7 linked regions of the Callithrix jacchus genome follow. The protein of the gene in region 1 interacts with the protein of each later gene in a pairwise test. Links are inferred from orthologs where the notes say so. Each region holds a gene or a part of one and is shown on either strand. Other genes may lie near its edges.

Region 1 (3,500 bases):
GTTTTGAGTTAGAAAGTTGATGGTGGGGAATTGTTCCCTGGGGGGGGCAATCTGTCTCCACAGAGGAACAGTATGTCTCAGACATCTTGAACTACATCGATCACGGAGACCCACAGGTTCGAGGAGCCACTGCCATTCTCTGTGGGACCCTCGTCTGCTCCATCCTCAGCAGATCCCGCTTCCACGTGGGAGAGTGGATGGGCACCATTAGAACCCTGACAGGTAATGGCCGGTTTTTCAGCTGTGTTTTTTCTAAATCTCATGACCAAGTATTAAGTTTCCATGATGACGTTGCTCCTTGTTGTTCTGCTTAGGAAATACATTTTCTTTGGCGGATTGCGTTCCTTTGCTGCGGAAAACATTGAAGGATGAGTCTTCTGTTACTTGCAAGTTGGCCTGTACAGCTGTGAGGGTGAGCATAATCTTCTCTGGAAACCATTTCTTCAATTAGTGGACACTTTATCATCACTAAAATTAAAATTGGAGCCTAATAGGAAATATTTCCATATACTCTGAAGCTGCACACAGTAATACCCACCATGTATCCATCTCTCAGCTTTAGAAGGAAAACATTGCCGATCAAGTTAATGCTCAGTAAACTTGTTTAAGTTTTAATTCTCAGAATATTTGTTTGAAATAGACCTTTTCCTAAAGGATATATTTACAAATAACCTGTCATTAAGTCTAAAGTCTTTTGAATACACTGGGCACGGTGACTTACGCTTGTAATCTGAGCACTTTGGGAGGCCAAGGTGGAAGAATTGCTTGAGCCCAGGAGTTCAAGACTATGGCAATGTAGTTGGACTCTGTCTCTACAGAAAATAAAAAAAACAAACAAACCATAAAACCCAATTAGCTGGGTGTGGTGGTGCATACCTACTCTCAGCTACTTAGGAAGCCTGAGCTAAGTGCTTGAGCCCTGGAGATCAAGGCTGCAGTGAGGCATGATTGCACCTCTGGCCTCTAGCCTGGGCAACAGAGTGAGACTGTCTCGAAAATAATAATAGTAATAACAATCTGTTGGATTTTAAAAAAACACTCTATTAGGTCTGTAGAATGGTAAGAGTTAAAGTGAGCCTTAGGGATTATTTAATCAACCTCTGTTTTTGTAAGAAGTGACACAGCCTCAATTCTTTAAGTGATAGCATGTTGAACCTTTCCATACCGGCTAGCTCGTTAAGTCACAACCGGCCAGTCAGCAAGAATAAAAATCAACCAGTAAAAATTAAAACAAAAAACCTACAGTTGTCAAATTTGTGGGATGCCTCCCCTTTTTAAAATGTCACACCTGACAGTAATTTTTCTCTAGTTTCCAGGTTTTGTTTCAGTCAGTTGTATCTTTCTTGAGTGGAAGGAAATGTGCTAACAGCTCAGTCTTGTGGCTAGTGGGGGGTTTGTGTGTCAGCCATGTGTGTGCTGGTGCCCCTGGGTGCTTGGGGCTGCAGGGGAGGGGTACAGCAGTCGGGACCTGTTCTGTTCTCCTGTGCCTTGGAGTACATAGTGACACAGTGCGGTGGTCCTTGGTGTAGGTCCCTTGTTCCTACCTTGGGTCTGAGATTTATTTAGAAGTAGTGTTAGGGCCGTGTGGCAGGCCCCTCTGTAACACCGATCAATGTTTATGAACTTGCCCTTTGCAAGTTGAAGCCATGATATAGCAGAAATGGAATTAAGAGAGAAACAGTTATGTGAAAGGGACACATTTACTTTTAAGCTTGTATTTACTGAGATAAATTATATACCATAAATGTTCTTGAGAGGTGTGGGAAAAGTACAACATCCTCGTTGCAGTTAAACCCAGAACATTGTGTGTCTAAGAGTGGTGGTTCTCAAACCGTCAAGATGTGGCTACTGAGTGGGGCTGACCTGCTGCCCTCTTGCCTTGGACCTTGTGTTCCAGCATTGTGTCATGAGTCTCTGCAGCAGCAGCTACAGTGAGCTAGGACTGCAGCTGCTCATCGACCTGCTGACACTGAGGAACAGTTCCTACTGGCTGGTGAGGACAGAGCTTCTGGAGACCCTTGCTGAGATCGACTTCAGGTAGATGGTCACGCCCATTAGATGGCATGAACTCAGCTCCATTGAAAGTCCTGGGGTCACCTGACACACGGAATGGTGTTACCAAGTACCCTGTCCATCAGAAACCTAGTGGGTTAGCTGGAGGGTAACGGTTTTCTCCTCCCAGTGGCTTTTTGCTGAACTTTGCCCTGTGCTTGGAGTTTTATTTTAATTAATTAATTTATTTTGAGACATGATCTTGCCCTGTTGCCCAGGCTGGAGTACAGGAGCACAGTCATAGCTCCCTGCACCTTTGAACTCCTGGACTCATATGATCTTCCTGCCTCACCCTCCTGATTAGGTAGGACAATAGGTGTGTGTCTCCACACCGGCTAATATTTATTTTTTGTAGAGATGGGGTCTTGCCATGTTGTCCAGGCTGGTCTCAAACTCCTGGGCTCAATTGACCCTCCAATCTTGGCCTCCCAAAGTGCTGGGATTATAGGCATGAACCACTGTGCCTGGCCTAGAATTTTAAAATATAAGTAGAATAAGAAAAGTAAATAAAATATAAGTAGAAGAGTAGACTTATTTTTTTGATACTCCTAGTCATTTACGTGTTCTGGATGGTGGGAATAAAAGAGCTTAGAATTTTTCATCTTTGTCTTGAACTTTTAAAAACTGTAGCTTATATTCTGCCTGTTGAAAGAGAATATAGTCATCATACTGAACCTAAGTAAGACAGCTGGTTTGTGTTTTGTTACAATTAAAAAATAACTTGAGACCGGGCGTGATGGCTCACGCTTGTAATCCCAGCACTTTGGGAGTCCGAAGCGGGTGGATCATGAGGTCAGAAGTTTAAGACCAGCCTGGTCAACATGGTGAAACCCTATCTCTACTAAAAATACAAAAAATTAGCTGGGCATGGTGGCGCATGCCTGTAATCCCAGCTACTCGGGAGGCGGAGGCAGGAGAATTGCCTGAACCCAGGAGGCGGAGGTTGCGGTGAGCCGAGATCCCGCCATTGCACTCCAGCCTGGGTAATAAGAGTGAAACTCCGTCTCAAAAAAAAAAATACAAAAATTAGCCCGACGTTCTTGGCACCCGCCTGTAATCCCAGTTACTCAGGAGGCTGAGGCAGGAGAATCGCTTGAACCTGGGAGGTGGAGGTTGCAGTGAGCCAAATTCACGCCATTGCACTCCAGCCTGGGTGATAGAGAGAGACTCTGTCTCAAACAAAACAAAACAACCAACCAAACAAGAAAAAAAAACTTGAGCTGTGTTGGAACTTTCATTTTCTAAGAGTAAAGTCTTTGCTGGATAAGGTTTCTTTTAGAAGGGAAATCTCCCTTTATAATTCAGGTTCTTTCCCCAAGCCACCTTTTATAGAGCCCTCGTGGGTTATTTCATTTAATCCTTAGAATGTCTGTAAATCTGGGATTGCTCTCCACTCCACCTACAGATAGGGACGCTGAGCATGGGTGAGTGAGCAAGGCAGCAGGTTA
Region 2 (2,449 bases), on another chromosome or scaffold:
TCTTTTATGCATTTTTCGTGATGGTTTTTCCTTCACTCCTCAATGTCTATGTAAAGCCCCTGTCCCATTAAGTTCATGCCAGCCAGTGTGCCCCCTCTCCATCCACCTCTGTGACCGCCGCCATCTGACTTCAGACCTTTGCTATCCTGAATGAAGCCTCCAGCACCTCAGTCAGAGATTGCAGCTCCACCCCAGGCCCCAGCATCAGGCTGGGAATTCAACAAGCCTCAGAGGTCCCCAGCCAACCCCCTGGCCTCACAAGGCCTTCCTGTTCCAAGGCAATGAGGAAGTCTCTGTGTCTACCCCAGCCAGTTCCTCCCCAAAAGGCCAGTGACCTCATAGTCACTATTGGAGACTGCCCCCTCTAAAATCATTAATTCAAAACTCCCCACACTGGCCACCCCTACACCCCTTCAGCTCTCTAGGAATAGCTTCTCCTAGATGTCTCACAAACACCTCCAACCCAAAGTGACGGAAACTAAGTGGAGTCAGAAACATACTCACGGATTTACATCCTTTAATAGCACTTGTTGATGACAACAGCAGGGATTCCTCAGCTATGATATGTTTTTGCCCTGGTTAAGCCTGAGAGGATCCCTTCCAGGCTTTGGAACTCGGTCTTCAGCCATTCTTCTCGGATTTGGGCATCCCATCCAACAGAAAGCAGGTTATATCGCTCTCGAGGCAGTGGGGCTCACGGTTGTTGTCCACTTCTCTCTCCGCATCTTGTGAAGTGTTGTTCATACTGTCATTGTGGCTGGCCTCCAGGCCTACCTGCTCCATGATGAAGTCACCAAGGCAATCGAGCAAGGTAAGGAGGCTATTTATCATGGAGGAAGTCTGGCTTTGGGCATCTCGTTCATCCTGAAGAAGGCGGTCAACGAAGGTCCTAGGGACCTGTGGCTCATTTCTTGAAGGTTCTTGATTCTGATTGTTATTTGTAGGGGAGTTCTTACAGTTTTCTGTTTCTGACATTATGTTTGCTTGGTCTGGCTCTGCTGAGCTATGCTTGATTCTCCTGCTTGAGCAGGTCTCCAAGGACACTGGCACTTAGTCCTGCCCATTGTATCTCTCTGCTCCAGGCCCTGATTGGTCAGGGAGCTAGCTGCCTTTGTGACATCCTAGACTTTGGAATTTCCCTGAGCAGACCTCAGCCTAGAAATGTCTGTGACACTGACCTAGTCACCCTAATGACTGAATCCTGATTTTGAGAGAACTATAACTTTTTATCTGATTTTGACATTGTAAAAATAAATGTGTGTTTCAGTGGAAAACTTTGCTCTATCTTTAGGACATCATTGCAAATTATCTGATTCTAGCCTTACATTATCTCTGAAATCTTGCATAGGTTTTTGTTACTTGTAGGCCACAGATACATGGATGATATATTCTTCAGTAGAGGTTCAGTTGTCCTTCACCTAATGAAACCAATTTTACCTCCATTTACACACAATCATTTAATATTCCTGATGAATATTCCCATATCAATTCTTTGGTTTCCCTTTTGAACCTGTTATAATAACCTTTTCTTTTAGTATATGTTCATTTCATATCTGTATGAGTGTCATGATTTTACTCTATTTGAAAAATATTTTTTAATCATTTTGCAATTAATAATAAGATGCTCAATACCTGTCAGTGCCAGGTAAACATAGTTGATGGAGAAGTGCATCTTGTGCTCAGTTTAAGCCCAGATGTGTATTTCTTGTCTCTCCTAGGTGAAGCCAAAGCACTAAGAGTTGTTTCTTTTCTATTATTTAATTTTACTCTCTGCTAATTCTGTGTTTTCCCTTTGAGTTTTGTTCATTTACAGCCAATAACTTTGCCATTTCACAAGGGAAATAGTGGAAAGAAAATAGTCTCAAATCCAAACAATTTCAAAATCTAACCATTAGGTTTCAAGGCCTGGGAATAGTCTACAGCTTGAGACCCCTCCCTCTGATCACTCTGATCCTGTAACTTCACCTGGGGGAATAAATCTTCCCTCTGGTCTCTTGGTTCTGCCCTCAGTCATTTTTCCTTTATTTTGAATGGTAGCATGTGTTTACAGCCGAGTAGTTTTATCAGCCTGCTTTCTCCTGTCAAATTTTGGGAGTCCTATAGCCTTCTTTCATTTCTTGCTCTATTTCTTTCTTTCAGTCTAAGCTGGCATTGTTTCTGCTGATATAACATTCTCAAAAACTTACATGTGTTTTATGTATGTCATGAGGATTCATGCCATTAGACAGAGTCTTCTTCACAGATCTCTCAGAAAATTCCGTCTCTATTCCTTGCATATTTGAGAAGCACACCCCATATCTCTTCAAAACATCATCTGTGTGATTGAATACTTTGGTCTTTTCATCCCTTAAAGGCACTAACAAAAGAATGGCTAGCCATGCCTTTGATTTTATTTCTGTAGGATGATTTCATGGCAGTGAATTCACTAATTTTGGTGTCTTTTGCAATC
Region 3 (3,500 bases), on another chromosome or scaffold:
TGGAACTGATATCTTCTTCCTGAGTATCATGAGTACTTATAAGAGGTGAAGGCTGAGGCTGTGGTTTATTCAAGTTAGGGCACGTCTTTGTTGAAGAAGGAAATACAGGTTCTCTTAGCCAGGCCCCCTCATTTCTATTTCTTTGTTGTTCCATGAGGAACTCTTTATTTTGAGACTCAAATTCAACAAGGAATTGAGCTTTCTGAACCCTTTGTTGAATATAGTGAGATTCTTCTACCACATCAAGCTCTTCTTTAATAGATAGATCACATGTGTACATCAAATCATGGTCAGAGATTCCAGCTATCCCCAAAGACTGCAGGTAGGCAATATGTTCATCTAGTTTTGTATCAGATTTTCTCTGAGCAGCATGCAAAGACTGAAGCTGCAGCTGGGTTACAGAGTTCTGAAGATCCTCGATTGTAAAGAGTTCTCTTAATTCTTGTTTACTAAAATATCGGAAGGGGTTCTTTTTTTCACCAGTAGTTTGTCTTATTAATGAGTCCTTGAAAACCTGTCTTCTGTATATTTTTTCCTCTACAGTCCCACAAGTGATTAGCCTATAAACCACAACATTTTCTTTTTGTCCAATTCTGTAAACTCTATCCACAGCTTGAGCATCGGTTGCAGGATTCCAGCTAGGGTCAAAAATGACCACTCTAGTTGCTGCAGTTAATGTTAAACCGACACCACCTACTTGAGTGGTAAGCAGAAAAACAGAGTAATCTTTATTTTGCTGGAACAAGTTAATTCTTTTTTCTCTTTCCAAAAGATGAGTAATTGTCCCATCGATTCGCAATATCTTAAAGTGCCTATTCTTTAAGAGGCGTTCAATGATGTTTAGAATTTGCCTTGACTGAGAAAACACCAGAGTTTGATGTCCCTCATCTCGCAGCCTCTTAAGTAGGCCCATTAGGAATATCATTTTTCCAGATTCTTCCATCAATGTGTCATCAGTTATTTGATCAATATGGTCCATGTCTGGGGAATCTTCCCCTTCATTTCCATCTTGAGCAGAGAATGTGACAGTCCCGAGATTTAGCAAACCACAAGCCCGTGCAGACAGCAGCCTAGGATGATCACACAGCTTCTTTAAGATACCTAGCTCAGCCAAAGGTGAGCGCGTCTCCATTAGCAATTCCTTGATATGATCTAAAGACACAAATTTCCTGTATATTTCTTCTTGTAAAGGCACAAGTCGTATCCAAATAATTAAATCATTTTTCCTGGAAAGGGAAGGCATTTCACAAATGGCATCAACATCTGGATTCTTTTCATTAAGTTTGACGTCTGGGTTGCTTGTTTTCTTCTGTACTTCTTCTTTAGTCCTCCTGAGAAAATAGGGTTTTATGATTGCCATTAAGTTTTCAGATATTTTAAATCCCAAGGCTTTTTCCCCTGGGGTAGCATCCTTCTCTCTTGCTCTAGTAATAGGATTTTCATACTCCATTCTAAAAGTTTTTAATGTTCCCAGCAGGGATCCTTGACAAGCAAAATCAAATAGGGACCATAGTTCTCGTAAGTTATTCTGGATTGGGGTTCCTGTGAGGAGGAGGCGATTACTTGCAGGAACAGCACGAGCACATATTGCTGACTTAGTAGATGAGGTTTTTATTTTATGTGCTTCATCAAGGATGACATAGTCCCACAGAAACTCTTGGCCCCTAAAGCTTGAAAGTTGTTGCCAGTTATTGATTAACATTTGGTATGTAGTGATAATGACACCATTCCTTTGCTGAATCCAATTGAGGTTTCTGGTTCGTTCATCCTTGCTAGGACCATGAAAGGTTTTGACTCTCATTCCTGGAGTCCACTTAACAAATTCTTTTAACCATGTGTTCATAAGATTGGTTGGCATGATCAGCAGCACATGATTCACAAGTGAAGCATCAAACATACCAGAAAGGAAAGCAATTATTTGAACAGTCTTCCCTAATCCCATATCATCAGCCAAAATACCACCTTTTCTTCCATCCCTATACAGGCTATAGAGGAAAGCTACGCCTTCCTTCTGGTGCTCAAAGAGTTGGTCGTGCAGTTCTCGATAAAGCAGCAGGCCAGAGTTGCGCACATCTGTAAATTCATCATCTCCCTGTTCTGCCAACTCCAAGACTTCCTGTATTTTTTGGATTCTGCTCAGCACCTTTTCATTGGGGAAAATGTCCTTTGCCAAATTGAAAAGTTTAAATGCTTCTTCCAGATCTCCATTCTTAGCTGCTTCTTTGGCCTCTTTCACGTATCTATAAAGTAAATAATAAAATAAAATAAAAAAGAAAAGAAAGGAAACATTGAACATTCAGTCGAAGAATGCTTTAGAGTTCATTTTGGAATCCAAACTGCAGCTGGACTTTTAATATCCTCAATTCAGGATGGGAAAGATTAGCACAGAAGATGCAGTGAAAGCTGGTGTCACTTGAGACACAAATATCCACCAGATACTGCCAGCAACACCTTCAGACACTATTTGTGGAAAATTAATGTGCAAAGGTTATTGGTTCCACAGTACTTTGTTAAAGTTGGCACCCGTAAGAAGTAAGAAGTGATTTTTTTGTAAAACAAACAATCCTCTATGTGTAGGGACATGGAAACATGGGGAACTTCTCTGGCCTTATTTTACTGGACTACTGTGATGCATTTGACACTACTGATCACTACTTTCCACTCTTAAAATTCCCTCCTTTCACCAGATTCCTACAGATTCCTTCTGGTTTTCCTCCTCTTCACTTGACCATTTCTTCTGTGTTCCTTCTACCAGAGGACTCAGTCATAGGACCTCTTCTCACTCTTTTTAGTCTCTCCTCAAGTTTTCCCAGAGCTTCCACTCCCACTTATGTGCTCATGATTCCCAAATCACTCTCTCCAACCCAGAGCTGTCCCTCAAGCTCTACTGTAGAGCCATTCAACTGCCTTCTGGACATCTCCCCTTGAAGTCAAATTCAATTCATCCCAAACTAAACTCATTATTTCCCCTCTAAAAACACGCTTCTCCATTTGTGTGGGAGTAAATAACACTACCCTCTACTTAGCCACACAAACTTCAAATCTGAAGAGAATCCTTGACCCCAACCTAAATATGAGTCATCCTTGTCCTTTCTGTTTTTTTTATGCCCCACCCTCAGGCCAGGCAGTCCCAAGTCCTACTAACTTTACTTCCCAAGTTATAACAACCTTCTTTCCATCTCTACTACCACTACTGTGGCCCAAGTCACCATCATCTCTGGCCTGGATAACTGCAGTTTCCTACTCACTGGTCTCCCTACATAAACTCTTGCCCTCTCCAATACACTCTCTATATAGCAACCAGCAATACTGTCTTAAAGCGTAAAATAAATCATGTCACTCCTCTGCTTACAATTCTTCAGTGGTGTATGGTCAATTAATTTCAGTAAGGATGCTAAAACAATTCACTAGAGAAAGAAGTCTTTTCAACTGAATATCTATGTGCAAAAGAATGAAATTGGACCCCTACTTACACCATATACAAAAATTAACTCAAAATG
Region 4 (3,033 bases), on another chromosome or scaffold:
TTCCTGAGGCCTCCCCAGCCATGAGACTGTGAGTTAATTAAACCTCTTTTCTTTATGAACTACCGAGTCTCAGGTAGTTCTTGATAGTGGGGTGAGAACAGAACAATACAGATTGGCAGCAGGAATAGGCTGAACAGAGGCAAGGAGATGCTAGGTAGAAGCAGCCGTGGACAGAAGGGAGACAAGTCCTCACAAGGCAGCACCACAGAGAGGGAAGGATGGGCCAGAGGGTCTGTGCTAGGTCCTGGGCATGTGACCTTGCACCTGCAGAGCAACCTTATGTGTTGGGTATTGCTCCCATCCTACAATGAGGCTCAGAGAGGTGATGCTGCTAGCCCCCAGTCACACAAGCTGATGAGCAGCAGAGCCTGGCTCTTGCTCCAGCCTGGAGACTTCCAAGGACCTGGATCTTACCATGGTGCCCACTGTGTATACCATCAGCAGGAGATCATGTTTCCAGCACTTTGACCCCATTGCAAGGAGCACATAGGTAACTTGATTTAAAACCAGTTCCTGACCAGGCTGCAGATGGGCACTTAACAGTCAGGGTCAGGGGAGCAAAGTGGGTGAAAGTCAGAAGTCCTCCCTCTCTCCACGTATCCAGCAACTGTGCTGACTCGTGTATAAGCTCAGACCCATCTCTTTGGGGATTTCTACTTCAACCGTACAGCTGGTAGCAGAGGATCATGAGACATCCCAGAAGCTTCCAGTGGGAACTGGCTGCTGAGTAAAACCACCACCCCCCACCCCACCTGCAGAAGGGCCACACCACAGCCAGTGGGCAACATGTGCCGTGGGCATGTGGAAGTTGCCCGGCAGACTCACCCTGTGCTGCCACTCTTCAACCTCATCCTCCTTGCGCCTCCGCGCCTCTTCCAGGAGGGCGATCTTGGCAGTGTACTCCGCAAGCTCTGCAGCCTGGAAAGGGAACGCCAAGCTCAAGTGAGTTCTGGAACCCTTTCGACAGTCTGGTTGTGAATGAGCAGCCTCCACTGTGACACCCGAGTCCCTCCTACCCATGGCCAACAGGGTCTATCATACACTCCTGCCGTCTCTTCCTGGATGCTCACACCCACCTTCTATGGGTGACCCAGGCAACAGCCCAGCCCCTTCCCCGTCAGCTGCTTCAGCCCCCAGATCAGTTAACAGCTTCCAGTCATGACAATTATTACAAGGCAGGTGTCACATTTTCCATCCTCAGAAGCATCCTCTCTATAATTCAGCATCTTGAAACTCAGGCGATTCCTACCAGCTGCTCCTGGCTCTTTATCTGATCCACCGCCTGTCTCTCCAGCTCCTCCTTAGCCCGCAGTGCAGCCATGCGGTCAGCCTCTAGGCGCTCAGCCTCCTCCTGAGCCCGCTTCCTCTCCTCCTCCAGCTGCAGGGCCCTCTGAATCTGCTCTGAGAGCTCTGAGAAGACACAAAGCCAGAACTACTCAAGCCCTCAGCCCAGGGACCTTGGAACCCCCATCTTCTATTTCCACCCAAAAAGCCAGAGAGCCTTGGACCAAGTCACAAGTCGATGGGATGTCTTCCAGTGACCCCGAAGAAAGCACTTCACAGCTCATTCCTGTCGTTTCCATGACAACTTCCTCAGTATGGCTAGAAACCCCTGTCCAACCCCAGCCAGGCGCCCACTCCCTGGCATGCCTGACTCACCCCTCCTGGTGCTCCTCTCCCCAGGCCAGCTACCCGGTGTGCAGGTACCACCCCACACTCAGAACATAGAAATGCTCTCCCCGTGTGTGCTAAGGGCTGCCAATGAACACAGCATCTGTGACGCCCTGTGTAACGGCCCAGCTGCTGGGGTTGTCTACTGGAGCTGTGCAGGGAAGACTGGCTCAGCCCTGTCACTCATGGTCTGTGGGACTGTGGGCAAGTCACTGTACCACACCAAACCTTAATGTCCTTATTGGGGAAACTGGGTGATTTAGCTCTTACCTCAAAGGTCTAGGGAAATTTTAAAATGCGATGTCTTAGAACAATTAGCACCAAAGTTAAGGAAGAACAGAATCATTTTCCAAACCAAATAACCATGTTGTCAATTCTGCTGCGAGTCTGCACTGTGGGACTCATTCTTGGGAAGAGGTTCCTTCCTGGTGGGTGGGTGTGGGCCCTGCCTCTCTGTGGAAATGCATGCCCCAGTGTGGAGCACCAGCCGCCCCAGGGCTCCTGACCTCTCTCTGCCTTCTTGGTCTTCTCCTCATAGTCCTGCAGCCGCAGCATCAGCTCCTCCTTCTCACGCATCATCTGCTCTTTCTCTCTCTCCACAGTTTCTCTCCTTTTCTTCTCCGTTTCCAACTGTTGCCTAGTGAGGCGGAAAGAGGCACAGGGACATTTAGACTCTAGCAGGGAAGTAAGGGGTCAACACACTTCAGGGGGTGTGCAGTTCTAGGATGGACTTGGTATCCTCAGGGCCACCCTGGCCTGCTGCCAGCCTGAGCCACCTGATAGAGCAGCTGCTCCAGGGCTGACACCAGGCTCAGCACCACAGCCACTGCCCAGAGACAAAGGCCCGGAAGAACCCAGTGTGGCGACTGGGTTCCATTCCACCAGGCTGTCCTGATGAGCTCTGGGGTCACCTGACAGGCACCGGCTACCTCGGCAGGTAGGGCTGGCGGAGGCTGAGCAGGGAGAACACAGGCCCCTGCTCCGGCCTCCCATGCTCACCGTTCCAGCTGCTTCTGATGCTTCTCCTCCCGGGCCTGGGCCTTCATCTGCTGCACCTCGATAGTGTCGGGCTTCCTGCGGCGCATGTACAGCTCATGGTTGCCCATGCAGAGCTGCAGGATCCGTTTGTTAATTCTCAGGCGGGGGGCATAAAACACAAAGTCCTACGAAACAGAACAGGGTAACCTGGACTCAAGCTCCTTCGTTTGGTTTTCTTCTCCCAAACCATACTTCACAAAGGTCCAGAACTTTTCTAAAAGAACCAATGTAGTAGAACAGGGATGTAGCAGAGCAGCCTTGGTATTCAGAATGTGCATTCTCTGGGATGGGGAGGGCGTGCAGGTGCTGCGTGTGTGTGGTTAT
Region 5 (4,188 bases), on another chromosome or scaffold:
TGGAGTGCAATGGCACGATCTCAGCTCACCGCAACCTCCACCTTCTGGGTTCAAGCAATTCTCTTGCCTCAGCCTCCTGAGTAGCTGGGACTACAGGCGCGCACCACCACGCCGAGCTAGTTTTTGTATATTTAGTACAGACCAGGTTTCACCTTGTTGACCAGGATGGTCTCAATCTCTTGACCTCGTGATCCACCCGCCTCGCCTCCCAAAGTACTGGGATTATAGGCATGAGCCACCGCACCCAGCATTTTTTTTTTTTGAGACAGGGTCTCACTCTGTCAGCCAGGCTGGAGTACAGTGGCGCAATCTCAGCTCACTGCAGCCTGACCTCCTGGGCTCAAGTGATCCTCCTATCTCAGCCTCCCAAGTAGCTGGGACTATAGGGGTGCACAACACCACGCCCAGCTAATTTTCATATTTTTTTGGTAGAGACAGGGTCTCACCACATTGCCCAGGCTGGTGTCAAACTTCTAGGCTCAAAACATCTGCCTGCCTCACCCTCCCAAAGTGCTAGGACCTCAGGTATGAGCCACTACACCTGGCTCTACGCTTTTTTTTTTTTTTCTGCAGAGTAGGGGAAGGGTTAGATGGTCTTCTACCCTTCCACAGAGTGTGGTCAACCAGACTGTCCTCCTGACCCCCCATCTACTCTAAGGAAATGAGACTTCAAAGGGAAGGTCACAAAAATTCCTCAAAATATACATTAAAAATTATGAAGGTGCCATGTTTCATGCCTGTAACCCCAGCACTTTGGGAGGCCAAGGCAGGTGGATCGCTTGAGCTCAGGAGTTCAAGACCAGGCTGGGCAACATAGTGAGACCCCATCTCTACAAAAAAACACGAGCATTAGCCAGGCGTGGTGGTGGTGCACGCTTATAGTCCCAGCAACTTGGGAGACTGAGGTGGTAGGATCACTTGAGTTGGGGAGGTTGAGTGCACGGTGATGGCACTACTGCACTCCAGCCTGGGCGCCAGAGCGAGACCCTGTCTCAAAAAAAAAAAGAAAATCATTAAGTCAACTATGTGGTAGATAACAAGGAAAAAAATCAACACACCAGACAGGAAACTAGCTTTTTTTCTCCCTTAAATTAAATATAAAGGGCAGCCTCCGAAAGCCAAGAGGAGGTTCTGCACACAGAAGCCAAATTAATCGGTGGACCTGCAGCCCACCCTGCACCTTGCACCCCCTTCCAAGTCCTCTTTTTTTTCTTTTTTGAGACAGAGTTCGCTCTTGTTACCCAGGCTGGAGTGCAATGGCGCGATCTCGGCTCACCGCAACCTCCGCCTCCTGGGTTCAAGCAATTCTCCTGCCTCAGCCTCCTGAGTAGCTGGGATTACAGGTGAGGTAGTACCTGTAATTAGTACCACCATGCCCAGCTAATTTCTGTATTTTTAGTAGAGACGGGGTTTCACCATGTTGACCAGGATGGTCTCGATCTCTCGACCTCGTGATCCACCCGCCTCAGCCTCCCAAAGTGCTGGGATTACAGGCGTGAGCCTTCCTGGCCTGTTTCACGGTTCGGTTCCACCCCGAGGGGACACGCATGTGGCTGAGAACGAGGCCCGCGACTGGAGCAGCCAGCAGCAGCCAACCCACACCCCCGACGACGGCCCGTGTCCGGATTCCCCCCGGGAATGAGTCATTTTAATCGCCGCGGGTGAGATCCAGCCAGGGGATGAGCCCCCAGAACCCAGGTCACAAAGCCGTTTCCCGGGAAGGCGGCGATTTCCAGATTTCTGCTCCCAAAGCTAAAAGCCACGCCGTTTTGGGAAAGGCTGGGTTAACGCTGCGCTCCCAGAAAGACCGAGGTGACATCATGCTGGGGAGGGGCGTCTGGGCCCGGAACCCCCTCGGTGGTGCCGCAGCCACCGCGCAGCCCAGGACCGGGAGTGCGCATGTGGACGAAGGACCGTGCCCTGAACCCCCAGACCCTGGGCCCCGCCCCGCACCCCGGCCTGCACCCCCACACTCGGCACCCCAAGACTCCGAGCGCCGCCCGCACCCCCAGACCCAGGGCCCCGCCCCGCACCCTCAGACCCAGGACCCCGCCCGCTCCCCGAGACCTGGTACCCCCAGACCCCGAGCGCCGCCCGCACCCCCAGACCGCAGGCCCCCCGCATCCCAGCCCGCACCCCCAGACCCCGGGCCCCCCGCATCCCAGCCCGCACCCCCAGACCCCGGGCCCCCCGCATCCCAGCCCGCACCCCCAGACCCCGGGCCCCCCGCATCCCAGCCCGCACCCCCAGACCCCGGGCCCCCCGCATCCCAGCCCGCACCCCCAGACCCCGGGCCCGCCTGCACCCCCAGACCGCAGGCCCCCCGCATCCCAGCCCGCACCCCCAGACCCCGGGCCCCCCGCATCCCAGCCCGCACCCCCAGACCCCGGGCCCCCCGCATCCCAGCCCGCACCCCCAGACCGCAGGCCCCCCGCATCCCAGTCCGCACCCCCAGACCCCGGGCCCCCCGCATCCCAGCCCGCACCCCCAGACCCCGGGCCCGCCTGCACCCCCGCCTCGGGCCCCCGCTGCAGACCGTCTCCCCCTGCGGCCCCTGCCCCGCGCCGCCCCCGCCACTCACAGTTGCGGATATCCGAGATGAAGACCGCCAGGCCCCGCATCCCATCCCCCTTGGACACGGCGGGCATCTTCCGGCGCTGCGGAGCGGCCTCGGCTGGCGGGCCCGGGCGGAGGAGCGCGGGGAGCGGGGAGCGGGAAGCGCGGGCGCCGTCACCGCCGCGGAGAAGCCGCCGGGGAGCCGCCTAACCACCGCCGCCTCAGGCTCCGAGCGCCGCTTTCTGGGCCGCCGGCGCGCGCACGCACGACGCCCCCACCCGCATGCACGCGCACGCACGCGAGCGGTGACGGACGGCAGCCGGGGCGTCCGTCGCGTGAGGCAGCGCGCGCGCGTCCGCGGCACGGGGACGAGCTGGTTGAGGTAGGCGCGGGAGCGCCCCCTACAGGCGGAGACGCGGGAGTCACGGGTTCGCGTCCCGGGGCCGCGCCGGGCTGGCGATGCCTCCCGCGTCCCCCGCAGGAAGGGTGTGGGTCCACGTGGGTACTCGCGTGCGCAGCGCGGCCGCCTCCGTTGTTGTTGCTGGTACTACAGGCAACGAGCCCGTTCGTGGGACACTCTTGGTGGTCACTGCAAAAGGGGCAGCCACGCAGGCGCACACGTGCGGCTTCGCCCTGGGCATCGGCCCGCCTCGATCGCGCCCAGCAGGTCTCCGTTTTCCTACATTGACTAAAGGACCCGTGAGCGCTGTGCGGCAGGGCGGCTCCGCGGCCAGGGCCTTGTTTGTCCCGGGTGAGCCAGGACCGGGAGGGCGGCGCCGAAGGATGCGGGGCCCGGGCGAAGGGGTCACCGCCGCGGGACAGCCTTTGGCCAGGAGACCCTCCCCAGCCCCGTATCCTGAGACCATAGGGCTGGCCTGCCCCTCCCGCCCACCCGAGCGTCCAGGGCCAAAGCGGGCACCGTTTGCGTCCCAGCCCAGGTTGCGTCCCAGCCCAGGTTGCGTCCCAGCCCAGGTTGCATCCCAGCCCAGGTTGCGTCCCAGCCCAGGTTGCATCCCAGCCCAGGTTGCGTCCCAGCCCAGGTTGCGTCCCAGCCCAGGTTGCGTCCCAGCCCACCATTTGTGCGTGGCAGCCCAGGCGCCCCTCCACATCACCCGGACCTGCAGAGAAACGACCGCCCACCCCACCCCGTGACGGTGGCTGGGGGCTGCAGCCCAGTGCAGAATCCAGTCCCTCAGTGCGAGGACTCTCTGCCACTGTTTCAGAGACCCCTCTGCTCTCTGGCCCTCTGCACAGCAGCAAGCTGGAGGCCTAGGCCGGCCCCTGCGGACCCAGCGGGAGGGAGGACCTTCTGGGCCAGGCTGCAGGCTCTGTCTTAGGCCAGGAAGAGACTCCAGGGAGCCTGGAAGCAGATGGCCCTTCCCAGAGCCAGATGGCTTTGAAGAGGGAGCTCCCTCCTCCTGGAGTGGGAGGATCTGGGCCCTGTACCTGGAACTGGCCCAGACCCACCAGCCACGACTTTGTCCCCACCCTGGCTCACTTCCGCAACCCCAGATGAGAGTTTAGCCCAGTGAAGCCCTGCCAGGAGGAGGGGGCAGCACCCAGGCCCCTCCCCAATGAACCGGGAACCACACCCAGGCCCTGGGCCTCCAGAACTCCTGGGAAAAACCAGGA
Region 6 (3,500 bases), about 3.7 Mb from region 1:
ACCAGGAAAGAGCAGACCTCCATTTTCCAGAAAGACCGAAGTTCTGAGTGATTCCAAAACAGCACAAAGCTCCTGATTTGTTTCAGAACGGGATGTGTTCTGATATAAACCAATCCTGAAAGTCCCTTAAATCCTTCAAAAGCTTTAAGTATTTATGTTTTTAATTTTGGGGAATATACCCTGAGGCCGAAGTAGAGAATTCATCAGGAAGTTTTCCATGAATAAATTACAGTAACTGGGTCGCATCGCAGGGCCATATTTATGTTGCTTTGAGAGGCGGTGATGACAGGCTTTTCATCATCAGGCATGCAGAGACGTGTGTGTCTCTGCTTCAGGATCCCTCTGTGAAACCTCCCCGCTTCCATGACCCATCTGCCCTGCAGATCTGTGACACAGCGGCAAGGCAGGGCAGGTGTATCATCGCAGGCTCACCTTGGGCGGTTTCAGACTTTTCCCTCGATGCCTTTTGGAGCGCAACAGCCGTTCTCTCTCCTAGAAGGAAGCACAAGAGTTGGCATTTCCAGCCGGCCTCACATCTCATGAAACAAAGCCACTGGCTCTCAAAGGGAGCTGTGCCTGCCCATCCACACCAGGTATGGCTAGTTCAAGTTCTAAGGGCCCAAGTGATGGCTGCTTCTCTGAACTGAGAGCTACAGGGAGGGTTTATTATCCACCTTTTGACTTTTTATTTCATTGAAATATATTTTTCATCCTAAGCTGCATTGAGTCTTTTATGTGATGAAGCAAAGATGGATGGATGGATGGATGGATGGATGGATGGATGGATGGATGGATAAGTAGATGGAAGCATGAAAGCATGGGTGAGTAGATGGATGGATGGACAGATGAAAGGAAGAAAGAGAGCAGTTAAAGTGGTAGAGAGAGATGGCGGCAGGCAAAATGAACATGACAATTATAATCAAAGCCTTTTCTAGAATTTTGATCACTAGCTTTCCTATTCTTTGAAGACCAGTGCATGGAACCATCACACACCCTCTCGGGTGACAGCAGAACACGTTCCACTTCTAAGACCTGGCTAAAGCTCCCTGCAGGTGTTCCCTGCCTGTTACCTAAGCTCCTTTCACAGAGAGCTGCAGAATTCTCTGGATGTAATTCCCCACTTGCTTAACATACTAACCCCGCTTCGATAGATGCATGGCCCATATACATGTCCAAAAAGCACACAGACAGATTTAGCTGAGTGCTGTTCTGATTATACAGTTCAAATTTGTGGGCTCAAACTCACAGTCTGCAACTGCTAACTAAAAACCAATCAAACAAACAAACAAAAAGCCTTCTCTGGAACAGATCATGCCCAGTCTCTAACAGGCAAAAGACATCCTTAAAACTGATGCTGCTTCTTAACCACAGCAAACAGGGAGAAGATTTGAGAAGAGGGTAGCCATGGAAACCGTCCCCAGGTACCAGTGATCTCGTTTAAGCCAAGGCTGCTTGATGGCAGAATGAAGCAGGCATGAGCACACCGGGGTGAGCTTCCCAAAGTCAGCACTGCCTGACCCTGACCCAGCTCAGCAGCACCACCCTGAGCCCCGACACCCGTTCCTGACACCCATGTCACCCCGTGCCACCCGCACCAGGGGCAGCCACAGCAGCCATGCTAGATGTACCAGTGAGAGGTCGTCAATGACGTGCTGCTGCTCCAGCACCTGCAGCCTCAGGAACTCGATCTCCTGCTCATCCCTGGTCAGGCTGAGGTCGTTCAGGGAGGTGTGCCGCTTCAGAGACGCCTGTGCCGACAGCTTTTCTTTCTGCAGCCACAGGGAGAGAGACCACTGCAGCATTACCCACCAACAATGTTTGTTAGGGACAGCACTGGAGTGGGGCTTAGGGGTGCAGGGACAGATGGATGGATGGGAGGATGAAAGAGATGATGGCCTGATATGGTTTGGCTGTGTCCCCACCCAAATCTCATCTGGAATTGTAGCTCCCATAATTCCCATGTGTTATGGGAGGGGCCCAGTGTGAGATAACTGAATCGTGTGGTGGTTCCCCCATACTGTTCTGATGGTTGTGAATAAGTCTCTGATGTTTTTGTAAGGGCTTTCCCCTTTTACTTAGCTCTCAATCTCTCTTGTCTGCCACCACATAAGATGTGCCTTTAGCCTTCTGCCATGATTGTGAGGCCTCCCCAGTCAGGTGGAACTGTGAGTCCATTAAACGTTTTTATCATTATAAATTACCCAGTCTCAGGTATGTGTTTATCAGCAGTGTGAAAATGGACTAATATGTGGCCCCCTTGTCCTGTGCTGGAAGAGGGGACAAGGCAGATCAAAACCAAGCCCAAGGTTGGGCTGACTGTGCATGCTGCTGACAGGAAGGGATGGACTGGGCCTGGGCACAGAAGATGACATCTGAAATGAGTCTAGAAAGCTGGGAGGGGAAGGCAGGGGAAGGCGAGGACTTCACAAAACAGCAAACTACACACACACACACACACACACACACCTGCACCTGCTGTGGTACAGACAGTGGAGCGTGCATGCTCTCAGCACCTCCACTGTCTGTGAAACAGGGGTTGATGTTACTCTGAACAATGAACCTGAAAGCGTTCTGTAAACTGTCAACTACAAGACACCCGCACTGACCACAAACACCAGGCATCCTAGCTGGAGGAAAAACGCCCTCTGCAGAGCATCACCAGCGATCATAGTAACGGCTTTCACATACTGGGTGTCCTCTGAGGTCTTTGCGTGCTATCATTTCTTCCTCTTGGTGATCCTGCAGTGTTGATATTTTCATTCCCATTGTATGTATGAAGAAACAGGCTCAGAGAGAATGGGGGATGTGTTTAAGGACACAGCTGTCTCTCTGGCACAAACACCCACAGCACAGTGAATGCAAGACAGATGGAGAGAAGGAAGAGACGTTTGACCGACGCTGCTTCTGGTGCTTCTTGGGGAGGTGGGTGGCAGGTGGGCCCCAGAACATGTGGACCGGAAGGTTCGGGGCTTGAGAATCCCAGATAGAGATGGGAGTGCCAGGGCTGACCCACGGGGCCCATGGCTCACCATTTCCACATTTTCCCGTGTGAGATTCTTAATTTTCTCCTCCATCCTCTGTATACTCTGCAACAAATCCTCATTCTTCTTGTTCATCCTCTTGTTCTTCTCCACCAGAGGCTTCAGCTGAACCTCAGTCTCTCGCGAGCGTTTCAGCTGTGTTCGGAAACAGACACAGAGGCTCAGACAACTTGAAGATGGACGGCTGAGGTCACAGCACCGAGGTGAGCAGAGGCTCAACCCCAGCCCTGTTAGGACCCCGTCCGAGACCAGCGTCCTGGGTGACACACTTGTTTGCTAGTGGCATGACCACAGGCAAGTTCTCAGCCTCAGTTCCTCACCTATCAAATGAGAATCATGGCAGCTTCTGTCTCCTAGGCATGTGGTATGAATTAAATGCATACTGATAGTCCCCTCAGGGTTATTTTCATGAAAAGAATTAGAAACAACGTAACTATCTATCAATATTATGACAACCAC
Region 7 (2,397 bases), on another chromosome or scaffold:
GCAGTGGCTCACGCCCATAATCCCAGCACTTTGGGAGGCCAAGGTGGATGGCTCACTTGAGGTCAGGAGTTCAAGACCAGCCTGGCCAAAATGGGAAAACCCTGCCTCTAGAGAAAATACAAAAACAATTAGCCAGGCGTGATGGTGTGTGCCTGTAATCCCAGCTACCTGGGAGGCTGAGGCAGAACTGCTTGAACCCGGGAGGTAGAGTCTGCAGTGAGCCGAGATCACGCCACTGCACTCCAGCCTGGGCAACTGGGTGAGACTATCTCAAAAAGAAAAAGAAACTTGGTATCCTTCTCTCTACCTGAGTCACAAGCAGGCAGCCAATGACAATGACATAAAGCCAACTTCCCCAAAGGGGCAGGGTTGACCCAAGGCATGCCCAAGAGCACCTGCCCTTTCTTGTTCCCTGTGTGTGTGGCCTGTAAGAAATGTGGCGTTAAGATACTTCCACTCCCAGTATTTAAATCTTCTAATAAGGCACCGACTCCAGGAACTTTATATAATTAATTTTTTTCCCATTTTTGTATAAAACAAAATAGCCGGAGCCGAGCAGCAGGAAGAAAAGATGTCAAACATGAGTATGTACATCAATGGTGGAACAATGGTGGAAGAAGGCACGGCGGGTCCATCTGGAGCAACAGGTGGAGTCAGGTGGGGGGGTTGGAGGGGGCAGCAGGTTACACAGGTTTCAGCCGAAGCCACGGGGTCAGAAATAAAGTGCATAGGTCCTGGGGCACCCCCGTGGCCCAGAAGCAGCAGCCGACAGCCCCCCTCTTCCCGCCTCCAGCAGGGTTCAATTGAGCGTGACTCGGAGGTAGGAGGTAGGAACGTAGCCCTCGCCTCCCTCTTTCCGTCTGACCCGGGTCCAGCCATCCCCTTTGTCTTCTTCCATAAGACTGAGGTCTTCACCCTCAGCCATGGAGATGGTGCCTTCGCTGGACCCTGTCATGGGGGTGGAGATAGGCTTAGATCTACTTTAGGCAAATTTATTTATTTTTTATTTTTGAGATCAAGTCTCACTCTGTCACCCAGGCTGGAGTGCAATGGCGCGATCTCGGCTCCCCGCAACCACCGCCTCCCAGGTTTAAGATTCTCCTGCCTCAGCCTCCCGAGGCATGCGCCACCACGCCTGGCTAATTTCTGTATTTTTAGTAGAGATGGGGTTTCACCATGTTCGCCAGGCTGGTCTGGAACTCTTGACCTCAAGTGATCTGTCTGTCTCAGCCTCCCAAAGTACCCAGCCCTGCTTTAGACGGATTTAAACTGAACCTAGATAGAGACACCCCGCAAGCCCACTCTGGCCGTCCTCACCTTCAAAATGGTAGATGGCCACACAGTGACCTATGGGAGATGTGGCTTCCTCCTCGAAATCTTCATCAAACTCCGTGTAAATGGGGGTTTCCTGGCTCTCTTCTGAGGGAGGCTCTTCAGAGCTGTTTGGGGAGAATTAGGCTGATAAAGATGTGCCCTCCTGGGTCCCTGGGAACACACCCACTCTGGCGTCACCCCTCACCTCTCCTTGGTGTCCTGTGATCCACTGTTGCTGCTGTTGTCTGGTGGGGCGCTAGTGGGGGGGTCAGGAGGCCGGGCATGCCGGCTCAGGCTGTCTCCACGGTTGCTAAGGACTCGACTTTCAGCTTCTGCCAGCCACGCCTGGGAGGAGAGGACCGCCAAGATCGTTTCCAGGACAGAGCTCCCAGGTCAGCCCACTCTGGCCCCGGAGGATCCCTGAGATCACTCAGGCACCGCCAAGGCTGTGATGGAAAACAGCTGGAGAACCCCCTTCCCCGCTCCAAGCACCTCCCCTGTCCCCAACCCCCACCCCACCCTGCAGTGACTCAGCCAGGCCCGCCGGCCCCCACCCCTCCCCAGGGTCTTTTCTGACCTCATACTTCTGCACTTCCAATTTCAGCCGTTCAATGTTGCCCAGGGTTTCGGTGATCTGGGGCTCCAGGCTGGCAGGGTCCCCCATCTGGGGTGTCTTCTCATAGACATCCTTCATTTTCTTCAGGGCTTCCCTACAACAATGGAGACAGGCAGACAGGAAAACGCAATTCCCTGTGAGCTTTTTTGTTGTTGCTGTTGTTTTAAGTCAGGTTCTCACTCTCTTTCCCCAGGCTGGTGTGCAGTGGTGCAACCATAGCTCACTGCAACCTTGACCTCCCAGGCTCAAGTGATCCTCCTGCCTCAGCCTCCTGAGTAGCTGGGACTACAGGCCCACATCATCACACTCGCCTGATTTTTCTCTTTTTTTTTTGAGACGGGGTCTCACTCTGTCACCCAGGCTGGAGTGCAGTGGCATAATCTTGGCTCACTGCAACCTCCGCCTCCTGGATTCAAGAGATCCTCCTGCCTCAACCTCCCCAGTAGCTGGGACTACAGGCGCACACC

The links.
Region 2: the proteins of HTT (region 1) and H2AP interact in binary tests that used the Homo sapiens proteins (3 or more experiments, as listed by UniProt). The link is inferred for Callithrix jacchus from reciprocal best matches to the Homo sapiens genes HTT and H2AP.
Region 3: the proteins of HTT (region 1) and ERCC6L interact in binary tests that used the Homo sapiens proteins (3 or more experiments, as listed by UniProt). The link is inferred for Callithrix jacchus from reciprocal best matches to the Homo sapiens genes HTT and ERCC6L.
Region 4: the proteins of HTT (region 1) and EZR interact in binary tests that used the Homo sapiens proteins (3 or more experiments, as listed by UniProt). The link is inferred for Callithrix jacchus from reciprocal best matches to the Homo sapiens genes HTT and EZR.
Region 5: the proteins of HTT (region 1) and AP2A2 interact in a two-hybrid assay, tested with the Homo sapiens proteins (2 studies listed by BioGRID and IntAct). The link is inferred for Callithrix jacchus from reciprocal best matches to the Homo sapiens genes HTT and AP2A2.
Region 6: the proteins of HTT (region 1) and JAKMIP1 interact in binary tests that used the Homo sapiens proteins (3 or more experiments, as listed by UniProt). The link is inferred for Callithrix jacchus from reciprocal best matches to the Homo sapiens genes HTT and JAKMIP1.
Region 7: the proteins of HTT (region 1) and TRIP10 interact in binary tests that used the Homo sapiens proteins (3 or more experiments, as listed by UniProt). The link is inferred for Callithrix jacchus from reciprocal best matches to the Homo sapiens genes HTT and TRIP10.

Annotation. Positions count from the first base shown.
Region 1 is NC_133504.1:190,015,536-190,019,035, reverse strand, and holds part of HTT (huntingtin), read left to right. Parts: intron 1-63; coding exon 64-222; intron 223-314; coding exon 315-412; intron 413-1,897; coding exon 1,898-2,037; intron 2,038-3,500.
Region 2 is NC_133524.1:38,777,988-38,780,436, reverse strand, and holds H2AP (huntingtin-interacting protein M), read right to left. Parts: upstream 1,037-2,449; 5' UTR 976-1,036; coding exon 622-975; 3' UTR 501-621; downstream 1-500.
Region 3 is NC_133524.1:69,419,477-69,422,976, forward strand, and holds part of ERCC6L (DNA excision repair protein ERCC-6-like), read right to left. Parts: intron 2,241-3,500; coding exon 1-2,240. UniProt on the Homo sapiens protein: DNA helicase that acts as a tension sensor that associates with catenated DNA which is stretched under tension until it is resolved during anaphase. Functions as ATP-dependent DNA translocase. Can promote Holliday junction branch migration (in vitro).
Region 4 is NC_133505.1:165,579,687-165,582,719, forward strand, and holds part of EZR (ezrin), read right to left. Parts: intron 2,835-3,033; coding exon 2,671-2,834; intron 2,309-2,670; coding exon 2,178-2,308; intron 1,411-2,177; coding exon 1,250-1,410; intron 919-1,249; coding exon 826-918; intron 1-825. UniProt on the Homo sapiens protein: Probably involved in connections of major cytoskeletal structures to the plasma membrane. In epithelial cells, required for the formation of microvilli and membrane ruffles on the apical pole. Along with PLEKHG6, required for normal macropinocytosis.
Region 5 is NC_133511.1:130,985,043-130,989,230, forward strand, and holds the start of AP2A2 (AP-2 complex subunit alpha-2), read right to left. Parts: upstream 2,801-4,188; 5' UTR 2,649-2,800; coding exon 2,582-2,648; intron 1-2,581. UniProt on the Homo sapiens protein: Component of the adaptor protein complex 2 (AP-2). Adaptor protein complexes function in protein transport via transport vesicles in different membrane traffic pathways.
Region 6 is NC_133504.1:186,296,324-186,299,823, forward strand, and holds part of JAKMIP1 (janus kinase and microtubule-interacting protein 1), read right to left. Parts: intron 3,177-3,500; coding exon 3,030-3,176; intron 1,770-3,029; coding exon 1,629-1,769; intron 493-1,628; coding exon 433-492; intron 1-432. UniProt on the Homo sapiens protein: Associates with microtubules and may play a role in the microtubule-dependent transport of the GABA-B receptor. May play a role in JAK1 signaling and regulate microtubule cytoskeleton rearrangements.
Region 7 is NC_133523.1:6,342,660-6,345,056, reverse strand, and holds the end of TRIP10 (cdc42-interacting protein 4), read right to left. Parts: intron 2,025-2,397; coding exon 1,892-2,024; intron 1,660-1,891; coding exon 1,520-1,659; intron 1,440-1,519; coding exon 1,318-1,439; intron 949-1,317; coding exon 800-948; 3' UTR 501-799; downstream 1-500. UniProt on the Homo sapiens protein: Required for translocation of GLUT4 to the plasma membrane in response to insulin signaling. Required to coordinate membrane tubulation with reorganization of the actin cytoskeleton during endocytosis.